Anolis sagrei: one gene and its partners. The protein of the gene in region 1 binds, or shares a complex with, the protein of each later gene. Links are inferred from orthologs where the notes say so. Each region holds a gene or a part of one and is shown on either strand. Other genes may lie near its edges.

The links.
Region 2: TAF4 (region 1) and TAF13 share a complex: the UniProt entries of both Homo sapiens proteins name them as parts of the TFIID basal transcription factor complex. The link is inferred for Anolis sagrei from reciprocal best matches to the Homo sapiens genes TAF4 and TAF13.
Region 3: TAF4 (region 1) and TAF6 share a complex: the UniProt entries of both Homo sapiens proteins name them as parts of the TFIID basal transcription factor complex. The link is inferred for Anolis sagrei from reciprocal best matches to the Homo sapiens genes TAF4 and TAF6.

What each region holds. Positions count from the first base shown.
Region 1 is NC_090024.1:232,167,466-232,171,213, forward strand, and holds the start of TAF4 (transcription initiation factor TFIID subunit 4), read right to left. Parts: upstream 2,932-3,748; 5' UTR 2,922-2,931; coding exon 2,522-2,921; intron 1-2,521. UniProt on the Homo sapiens protein: The TFIID basal transcription factor complex plays a major role in the initiation of RNA polymerase II (Pol II)-dependent transcription.
Region 2 is NC_090023.1:40,844,481-40,848,228, forward strand, and holds the start of TAF13 (transcription initiation factor TFIID subunit 13), read right to left. Parts: upstream 2,536-3,748; 5' UTR 2,455-2,535; coding exon 2,428-2,454; intron 1-2,427. UniProt on the Homo sapiens protein: The TFIID basal transcription factor complex plays a major role in the initiation of RNA polymerase II (Pol II)-dependent transcription.
Region 3 is NC_090026.1:540,036-543,783, reverse strand, and holds the start of TAF6 (transcription initiation factor TFIID subunit 6), read left to right. Parts: upstream 1-999; 5' UTR 1,000-1,113; coding exon 1,114-1,299; intron 1,300-3,068; coding exon 3,069-3,155; intron 3,156-3,748. UniProt on the Homo sapiens protein: The TFIID basal transcription factor complex plays a major role in the initiation of RNA polymerase II (Pol II)-dependent transcription.

The DNA of each region.
Region 1 (3,748 bases):
CCAACTTTGGCCCAATATTATGATTATCATAATTTTAAGCAGGTCCCTGTCCCTCAATCCCTCCCCATCACTTCCTCTTCTGGGGGAAACTGTAATGAATAGCAACCCCTACTCCTGACACTTCAGGTCTTTTGGGGGAGATGGTGTTGTAATGAATATCAACCCCCTACTCCTGACACTTCAGCAAGAGAGAATGGAGAGAAGAATAATTCAGACACAGAGGCTGAAGAGAAGGCATGGACCAACTTTGGCCCACTATTACTATTACTATTACTATTATTATTACTATTACTATTATTATTATTATCATCATCATTCTTATTATTATCATAGTTTTAAGCAGGTCCTTGTCCCACAATCCCACCCCATCACTTCCTCTTCTGTAATGAAGGGGGGAAACTGTAATGAATAGCAACCTCTACTCCTGACACTTCAGCAAGAGAGAATGGAGAGAAGGATAATTCAGACTCAAAGGCTGAATAGCAGGCAAGGGCCAACTTTGGCCCACTATTATTATTATTATTATTATTATTATTATTATACTTTTAAGCAGGTTCCTGACCCTCAATCCCTCCCCATCTCTTCCTCTTCTGGGGGAAACTGTATGAATAGCAACCCCTACTCCTGACACTTCAGATCTTTTGGGGAAACTGGTGTTGTAATGAATAGCAACCCCTAATCCTGACACTTCAGCAAGAGAGAATGGAGAGAAAGATAATTCAGGCACAGAGGCTGAAGAGAAGGCATGGGCCAACTTTGGCCCAGTATTATTATAAATATTATACTTTTAAGCAGGTTCTGGGGGAAGCTGGTGTTGTAATGAATAGCCACCCCTACTCCTGACACTTCAGCAACAGAGAAAGGAGAGAAGGATAATTCAGTCTCTGAGGCTGTAGAGCAGGCATGGGCCAATTTGGCTCACTATTATTATTATGATTATCATTCTTATTATTATCATAGTTTTAAGCAGGTCCCTGTCCCTCAATCCCACCCCATCACTTCCTCTTCTGGGGGAAACTGGTGTTGTAATGAATAGCAACCCCTATTTATTCATTACATTACAACCTCCTGACACTTCAGCAACATAGAATGGAGAGAAGGATAATTCAGACTCTGAGGCTGTAAAGCAGGCATGGGCCAACTTTGGCCCATTATTATTATTATCCTAGTTTAAGCAACAGAGGAAGGATTATTCAGACTCTGAGGCTGTAGAGCAGGCATGGGCCAACTTTGGCCCAGTATTATTATTATTATTATACTTTTAAGCAGGTCCCTGTCCCTCAATCCCACCCCATCACTTCCTCTTCTGGGGGAAAGTGGCGTTGTAATGAATAGCCACCCCTACTCTTGACACGCAAGAGAGAATGGAGAGAAGGATAATTCAGACTTTGAGACTGAATAGAAGGCATGGGCCAACTTTGGCCCACTATGATTATGATTATGATTATACTTTTAAGCAGGTTCCTGACCCCTCAATCCCTCCCCATCACAACACCAGTTTCTGGGGGGAAACTGGTGTTGTAATGAATAGCAACCCCTACTCCTGACACTTCAGCAACATAGAATGGAGAGAAGGATAATTCAGATTCTGAGGCTGAAGAGCAGGCATGGGCCAACTTTGGCCCAGTATTATTATAAATATTATACTTGTAAGCAGGTTCTGGGGGACGCTGGTGTTGTAATGAATAGCCACCCCTACTCCTGACACTTCAGCAACAGAGAAAGGAGAGAAGGATAATTCAGACACTGAGGCTGTGGAGCAGACATGGGCCAACTTTGGCCCACTATTATTATGATTATGATTATTATTATTATGATTATTATTATACTTTTAAGCAGGTCCCTGTCCCTCAATCCCTCCCCATCACTTCCTCTTCTGGGTGAAACTCTAATGAATAGCAACCTCTACTCCTGACACTTCAGCAAGAGAGAATGGAGAGAAGGATAATTCAGACTCTGAGGCTGAAGAGAAGGCATTATTATTATGATTATGATTATCATAGTTTTAAGCAGGTCCCTGCCCCTCAATCCCTCCCTATTACTTCCTCTTCTGGGGGAAACTGTAATGAATAGCAACCCCTACTCCTGACACTTCAGGTCTTTTGGGGAAACTGGTGTTGTAATGAATATCAACCCATACTTCTGACACTTCAGTAACAGAGTATGGGAAGGAGGAAGAATAATTCAGACTCTGAGGCTGTAGAGCAGGCATGGGTCGACTTCAGCCCTCCAGGTGCTTTGGACTCCAACTCCCACCATCCCTAACACCCTCAGGCCCCTTCCTGGAAAGGAGGAGGCCTGGGGCTGTTAGGAATGGTGGGAGTTGGGAGTCCAAAGCACCTGGAGGGAGGGCCCAAGTTGGCCCATGCCTGAACATTGGCGGCCCATTGCGACCAAAACAACAAGGAGGAGAAGCTGGGTGGAAGGAAGCGAGGAAGGCAGGCAAGGGGGCAAGAGAGGAGGGCAAGAGGGGAGAAGGGGAGGCGAGGAGGCCCTCCTCCCTCTCCCTTCCCCAGGTTACCTGGCTTGGTGGTCTCTGGGCCACTGAGTCCCATCTTGGCGGCGTTACTGGTGACGGCAGTGGTTGTGGAGGAGGAGGAGGAAGAGGAAGAGGAGGAGGAGGTGGTGGTGCCGGGGCTCCCTGTTTGGCCACTGGCATTGCCTCCCCCTCCTCCTCCGCCGCCTCCTCCTCCGGGGCTGGGGCTGCCTCCTCCGCCGCCGCTCACGACATGGTTCCCCAGCAGCTGCCCGGTGGCGGCGTTGGCGGCGGCCCGGAGTCCCTCGGGAGGCCGGTGGTGGCCTCGGTGGTGCCCGGAGGCCGCCAGCTGGGACTCCAGCGAGCCCACTAGGTCGCTCACCACCTTCTCATCCACCTCCGCGTTCAGGAAAACCTCATCCAGCAGATCCGAGCCCGCCGCCATCTTTTTTCTTCCCTCCCTCCCTCCTCCCCCCTCCCTCTCGCGCGCGCTCACTCCTCCCTCCTCCCTCCTCCCCCCTCCCCTTCCCTTCCCTTCCTCACTCATTTTACACATACGCGGTTCCCGGCTCTCTCTCTCTCTCTCTCTCTGTCTCCCTCGGTGTGCCGCCACTGAGCATGCGCGCGGCGCGAGGAGAGGGATTCCGCCCGCTTCTGATTGGCCGCCGGCTGGGTATAAAAGCGGGCGCAAATGGCTCCCAGGGTTTAGTCAGGCGACGGGCCCGGCTGCGGCCTAGTCTTAAATAGGAAGAGAAATGAGGACTCAAAAGAGTGGTCGCCGCCGTCGCCGACTCAGAGACCCCGCAGTCTGACAGCCTCCTTCGCCGCCGCCGCAGTCGTTCTTTGTCTCTGACGAAACTCAAAATGGCTGCAGTCTCCGCCGCGGTGGCCTCTGCTGCTGTTGTTGTTGTTCCGCTCTCGCCGGGCTGGAGGAGCTTGGCGGCGGGGACTTGGAGCTACTCGACGCCGGCGCTTCACTGAGGGAACTAGGCCTCGCCGCCCGCTTTGGCTCTCTTCCTGCCCTTGAAGGACAGGAGGAGAGGCCCCGGCCTCTCCCACATGGTCTGCTTTGAACTGGGATCCCGAATGAAGCTGATCTGGGTTTATATGGCTGTGTGGAAGGAGACACTCCGGCCACTTCCACACAGCTGTACAAAGCCCACATTGGACTGGGTATGTGTCATTGTGGACTCAAATAACCCACTTCAAAGCAGATATGCTGGTATTCCTTGATCTTCTTGGGATATATGGCTGTGTGGAAGGAAACACTCC
Region 2 (3,748 bases), on another chromosome or scaffold:
ATCACCTCTGACCATAAGGTCATGAGTTCGAAGCCAGCCCGGGTTGGAATGAACTTCTGGCCAATTGTGTAGCTTGTTGTCGACCTTTGCAACCCGAAAGACAGTTGCATCTGTCAAGTAGGAAAATTAGGTATCACCTATGTGTGGGGAGGCTAATTTAACTAATTTATGAGGCCATAAAAAGGACTCCAGCAAGCACTACAGCAAAAGCATGCGGGGAATGCGGAAGTACTTCATAAGTGTCGCAGATGGACGATTAAAGCGACAGCTGCCCTGGCGACTGAAAAGTTAAATAGCCACTGGCTGTTTGTCTATATCTGTTGTGTGTCTTTGGCATTGAATGTTTGCCATATGTGTACATTGTAATCCACCCTGAGTCCCCTGCGGGGTGAGAAGAGCAGAATATATACTCTGTAAATAAATAAATAAATAAACTACCAATGGCTATTAGTAATAATGGCAACCGGTACTGGAAGATCTTTTAGTCCCAACTGTTGAGGAAAGCAGGCCTTGGAGTGCTATTGTGCTCCTGTCCTGCCTGTAGGCTTTCTTTATGTATCAGGTTGGCCAATGTGAGAAGAAAATGTTGAGTTAAATATGGCTTTGATCAAACAGAATTCTTACAAATATTTTCAAGATAACTATACCACATGAGCCAACAAATGTCTCCAGAGAAGGGTGACTAAAATGATCAAGGGTCTAGAGAACAAGCCCTATAAGGAGCAGCTTAAAGAGCTGTTTAGCCTACCAAAGAGAAGGCTGAGAGAAGACATGATGGCCATGTATAAATATGTGAGGGGAAGTAATAGGGGGAGGGAGCAAGCTTGTTTTCTACTGCCCTGGAGACTAGGACGCAATGGAACAATGGCTTCAAACTACAGAAAAGGAGATTCCACCTGAAAATCAGGAAGAACTTCTTAACTGTGAGAGCTCTTCAGCAGTGGAACTCTCTGCCCCAAAGTGTGGTGGACACTCCTTCTTTGGAGGCTTTTAAACAGAGGCTGGATGGCCATCTGTCAGGGGTGCTTTCAATGGGATTTTCCTGCTTCTTGGCAGGGGGTTGGATTGGATGGCCCACGAGGTCTCTTCCAACTCTTATAATTCTATGGTTTAAAGTTTGTAATGACAAAACTGGCAAATTCTAAATACACCTAGTACAAAATAAATTTCATATTAGTGGGTGAGATTTCCCCCAAGGAAAATCTGCACAGGATTATTATAGCATCACAGTCTAATTCCAACGGAACATTTCCAGGTCTTCAAGTTCAACAGAGAGCTACATTCACAGTGTAGAGTTATAGCAATTTGGCTGCCATGACTGAATGCTATGGGATTCTGGGATTTGTAGTTTTGTGAGATATCTACCTTTCTTTGTCAGTTCCACAAAAAATACAAATCCTAGAGAATGGAGACACAGCAGTGAAAGTGGTGGAAAATTGCTATAATTCTGCAGTGTGGATGGTTTCAGGGGTTAAGTTCAGCTACTGTATTTAATCATTTAATTTTAATTGTTGGCTTCAAGATAGCTTTAACATCTATTTTATATGTATTGTCGAAGGCTTTCTTGGCCAGAATCACTGGGTTGTTTAAGTTTTTTTGGGCTATATGGCTATGTTCTAGAGGCATTCTCTCCTGACGTTTCGCCTGCATCTATGGCAGTGGTTCTCAACCTGTGGGTCCCCAGATGTTTTGGCCTTCAACTCCCAGAAATCCTAACAGCTGCTAAACTGGCTGGGATTTCTGGGAGTTGTAGGCCAAAACACCTGGGAACCCACAGGTTGAGAACCACTGATCTATGGCAAGCATCCTCAGAGGTAGTGAGGTAGTAACCTCACTACCTCTGAGGATGCTTGCCATAGATGCAGGCAAAACGTCAGGAGAGAATGCCTCTAGAACATGGCCATATAGCCCGAAAAAACCTACAACATCACAACTATTTTATACTCAGAGTGCATCTATACCAGGCATGGGCAAACTTCGGCCCTCCAGGGTTTTGGACTCCAACTCCCACAATTCTTAACAACCTCAGGAAAAGGAAAGGGTCCGGGGCTGTTAGGAATTATGGAAGTTGGAGTCCAACGCCCCTGGAGGGCTAAAGTTTGCCCATGCCTGATCTATACTGTAGAATTAATGCAGTTTGGCATCACTTTTACTGCCACGTCTCAATCCTGGGAGTTGTAGTTTTACAAGGCCTTTAGCCAAACTACAAACCATAGCACTCCACTGCACTGAGCCATGACAGTTAAAGTGGTGCCAAACTGCATCAATTCTACTGTGTAGATGCACCCACGGTCTTGCCATGAATTAGGGAAGCTCTGAAGGCAGCAAGTGTCCCCCTCAGCCTCCCAAAGGGCATCCAAGAAGGATAGGAAGTCTAAAAACAATGTTATTCTCGCCCCAAACTGAGCCCCTGTCTTCCTCACTCACGGGAGGATCCTCTTCTTCGTCCGCCATGATTCCTGGAAGCGACGGAAATGTTGTCCCACTGTCCCGGCCAATCAGGAAGCACTTCCGCCCGCGCTGCGATTGGTCCTTTCACGAAGAACTTCTGAGCATGCGCCCTGCGAAGAAAGGCAGCCACAGCTGCACTTATCACTCACATTGCCCTTCTCCAGAGGTGTCAGGCTCTGTTTAGAACACTAGGCCTTTGGACCCCATCTAGTACTTTTCCCTCACTGCTCTCATAAAGCCATACTTCAGTGCATCTACACTGTAGACTTATTGGGCATTGGATACCACTTTAACTGCCATGGCTCAGGATGGGAAAAGGACTAGTAATATTGGCCTACATTTATTTTCTTATCAAAGGTTATTTTCTTATCAAAGCCCTAAACGACTCTGGCCCTGTTTACCTCTCCGAACGTATTCTCCCCTATGAACCATCAAGATTATTAAGATCGTCTGGAGCGGCCCTGCTCTCGGTCCCATCGGCCTCGCAAGCGCGTCTGGTGGGGATGAGGGACAGGGCTTTCTCAGTGGTGGCCCCTAGACTCTGGAACTCTCTCCCACTGGAGATCAGAACCGCCCCTTCTATCCTGACATTTAGGAAACAGGTGAAGACTTGGTTATGGAGACAGGCATTCGACGAGTGAGCCAACACCCTGAGATATGGATGGAGGATGATGAGCAACGATTTTAGTGTGACGACTAACCATTATAGTTATTTATTGTAATTGCTGTTTTAATGTTTTACTGTAATATGTATTATGATGTTTTATTGATTGTATGTGATATTATGGTTGGAAACCGGTCTGAGTCCCTCAAGAGAGGTGAGAAGGCCAGTATACAAAACTTATAAATAAATAAATAAATACTCCATTCCCATTAAAGAGCAAATGTAAGGTCCCATGGAGCCTTGGTGGTGCAGCAGGTTAAACCACTGAGCTGCTGAACTTGTTGACCGAAAGGTCGGCGATTTGAATCTGGGGAGTGGGGTGAGCTCCTGCTGTTAGCCCCAGCTTCTGCCAACCTAGCAGTTCGAAAACATGCAAATGTGAGTAGATCAATTGATTTGATTTTGAGTAGATCAATAGGTACCGCTCCAGCGGGAAGGTAATGGTGGCCCATGCAGTCATGCTTGCCACATGACCTAGGAGATGTCTACGGACAATGCCGGCTCTTCAGCTTAGAAATTGAGATGAGCACCACACCACAGAGTCAGACACAACTGGACTTAATGTCAGGGGAAAACTTTACCTAAATAAACTTAATGTCAAGGGGAAACTTTTATATTTACCTAAGGCTCCAT
Region 3 (3,748 bases), on another chromosome or scaffold:
AGCCGGAAGTGCATGGGCGGAGCATGGGGGCGAGAGCGCCCCGCTCTAGGAGTCCATCCTCGTCTCGGTGGCGCCGCGCCTGCGCAGTGTGTGTGTGTGGGGGGGGGAAAGCCATCGGCCGGCCTTGAGGCGGGAGCGCCGCTCTAGGAATCTCCCCTCCTCTCGGTGGCCACGATCAACTCGAGCCAAGCCTCAGGAGCGACCAGTTCTTTTGGGCAGGCGCAGTGGAGCCGGAAGAGCATGGGCGGAGCCTGGGGAGAAATCGCTCCGCTCTAGGAGTCCGTCCTCGTTACGGTGGCGCCGCGCCTGCGCAGTGGGGAGGAAGGAAAGGCATTTGGAGGGACTTGCGGCGGCGGGAGTGCCCGCTCTAGGAATCTCCCTTCGTCTCGGTGACGCCGCGCCTGCGCAGTGGGAGGAGGGAAGCCATTGGCGGGACTTGCGGCAACGCCCACTCTAGGAGTCAGCCCTCGTCTCGGTGGCGCGGCGCCTGCGCAGTGGGAGGAGGGAAGCCATTGGCGGGAATTGCGGCGGCACCCGCTCTAGGAATCTTCCTTCGTCTCGGTGGCGCGGCGGCTGCGCAGTGGGGGGAGGGAAGCCATTGGCGGGGCTTGCGGCGGCACCCGCTCTAGGAATCTTCCTTCGTCTCGGTGGCGCGGCGCCTGCGCAGTGGGAGGAGGGAAGCCATTGGCGGGGCTTGCGGCGGCACCCGCTCTAGGAATCTCCCTTCGTCTCGGTGGCGCGGCGGCTGCGCAGTGGGAGGAGGGAAGCCAATGGCGGGGCTTGCGGCGGCACCCGCTCTAGGAATCTCCCTTCGTCTCGGTGGCGCCGCGCCTGCGCAGTGGGAGGAGGGAAGCCATTGGCGGGGCTTGCGGCGGCACCCGCTCTAGGAATCTTCCTTCGTCTCGGTGGCGCGGCGCCTGCGCAGTGGGAGGAGGGAAGCCATTGGCGGGGCTTGCGGCAACGCCCACTCTAGGAGTCAGCCCTCGTCTCGGTGGCGCGGCGCCTGCGCAGTGGAAGGAGGGAAGCCATTGGCGGGTCTTGAGGCGGCGGGAGCTCCCGCTCTAGGAGTCCGCCCTCCTCCGGCCGGGGAGTGAGGGAGTGAGGGAAGGGGCGATGGCGGAGGAGAAGCGTGCGGGGAAGGGGGGCGGCGGAGGGGGCGGCGGCGGTGGTGTGGCGGGGCAGGTGCCCCCGGAGTCTGTGAAGGCGATGGCGGAGGCGGTGGGCCTGGCGGCGCTGCCCGAGGAAAGCTGCCAGCTCCTGGCCGAGGAGGTCAGCTACCGCCTCAAGCAGGTCGCCCAGGTCAGAATAAGGGGGGGGGGGAAGGGGCAGGGACCCCTCCCCCACACACAGGCACAAGGGGACTCTGGGACTCCACTTTGTCTTCTGTGCTATGCTAATAGCATATCTGACACTCTCTGAATACACCATCTCTGTCCTTCCCATGGAGCAAAGCATGGCGGGTGGAACAGACTCCTCAGGTCTGCCACACTTTGAGCATTATTAGACTGAGTCTTTTATAGGAATATTCTCTTGATGTCGTCCCAAAGCTGTAACCGCATCTCCATCTACGAACCCACACGCTCACTCCGGTCATCTGGGGAGGCCCTGCTCGTGATCCCGCCTACGTCGCAAGCGCGCTTGGTGGGGACACGGGACAGGGCCTTCTCTGCGGCGGCCCCCCGACTTTGGAATGCCCTTCCAAAAGAGCTTCGTCAGGCCCCTACCCTAGCAGTTTTCAGAAGGAACCTAAAAACTTGGCTGTTCCGATGTGCCTTCGCAGATTAGGAATCCCCATCCCAAGTCCTAGAAGCACTTTAGCACAACTATTGTTGCTGCACACCGCACTTTTAATCTTACGTTCCTCCTGCCATCTCAGCACTTTTAACCCTGCACCCCATTGCGCTGGCCGAACCAGTTTTAATAATGTCTTGATGTATTGTCATTGTGGTTATTTTGCTTAATTGTTTTGATTTGCTTTGTTTATTGTTGTGTTATGTTTCTATTGTATTGTATTTGAGGCTTCGGCCCGTGTAAGCCGCATCGAGTCCTTCGGGAGATGCTAGCGGGGTACAAATAAAGTTAATAAATGAATGGTAGCCAGATGTTGATCTTCTTGATTGGTGTTGACAAACACAAGGCTTGTGTTGACTTCCTTCTTAACATAAGGAAGGTTGCAAACATTTCCTTAACTTGAAAGAACCATTGTCACGGTTTTATTAGAGTTTACTTTGTAGTTCTTATTAGCAACCTTTAATTACAGTCCAGCAAATGTCACAGTCCTTATCAGAGTTGACTTTTCAGTTCTTATTAGCAACTTTTAATTACAGTCCAGCAAACAGGTAGTTAGTCATTGCAGGCCTTCATATTTTACTGGTGCTTCCAAAATTATTAAATCCACTCATTAGGGTTGGGCGGTTTTGTTTCGTAATTTCGTAATTCGTTAAAAATTCGTTATTTTTTTTAAAATAACGAAGCGATATTGAACCATTCAGGAGCAACTAAAAAACGAAACGAATTTTTCCAATTCTTTTCGAAATTGATTCGTTATTGATTTGTTATTGATTCGTAAATGTTTCGTTATTATTTCCGCATGTCTGGTGCACGTTTTAGGGTTGCTGTTTGTTTTCTCAGTGAAAAAAAAATATAATTATCACACCAACAGTCAACAACAGAGGGAGAGGGAAGCTTCAGAAGTTTTTTTAGCGTATTGAGCGATCGCGGCCGCCATTAACGAATCGATTCGTAATCGATTCATAATTGTTTTGTAATTGGTTTTTTGATTTCCGAAATTTTGTAAATATCGAACTTTTTTAAAGGAAAATTTCGGAATTCTTTTAAATAACGAAACGCAAAAAACCCCTAAAAACGAATCGAGTTTAGAAACAAATTTTTCCGTGTTTGGACAGCCCTACCACTCATACCTTCATCTTCCATTCTTCCATTCATTCCTACACATAATATTCAATTCACATTTCTCAAATTTTGGTGACACCTCCTCTCCCCCCCCCCCCAGACATCCACAAGGCCCCTTCGTGACGGAGACTCCCCTTTCCCTGTTTCCCCTGCAGGAGGCGCTCAAGTTCATGCGGATGGGCAAGCGGCGCAGCTTGGCCACTGCCGACCTTGACTGTGCCTTCAAGCTCAAGAATGTGGAGGTCAGTCTCTGGGGAGGGGAGGGGGTGGGGCTTCTGTGTGTGAGAGGGAGGGTCTTGGGGGCATGGCTTCATCGAGAGAGAGGCGGGGCTTAGAGAAGGGGGCAGAACTTCACTGAGTGGAGGGGCTCGCTTGTGAGAGGGATGGCTTCCTTGATTAGGGGTCTGTAGGGGTGTGGCTTTATTGAGAGAGGGGAGGGGCCCAGGGAAAAGAGGGATGTAGCCTGGAGAGGGGGGGGCTTCCTTGAGGGAGAGGGAGGGTTCTAGGCAAGTCTTTCCCCATTAGGGATTTGGAGGGGGCGGGGCTTCATTGGAGAGGGGAGGGGCCAGGAAAGGGGGTGTGGCTACTTATGGGAGGGGGCAAGCCTTTGCCTTGACAGTCCCTCCCCTTCTCCCCCCCCCAGCCAAGAGAGGGCATGAAGGGGGTGCCTCTTTGAGAGTGGGAGGGGCCTAGGGGAGGGTTCCCTTGATTAGGGGACTGGCGGCAGGGCTTCCTTGAGTGAGGGGCGGGGCTTCCTCTGGCCTTGCCTTGACACGCCCCACCCCTTCTACCGCCCAGGGAGGGGAGGGGCTTCCTTGAGCCCCCCTTGGAGTCT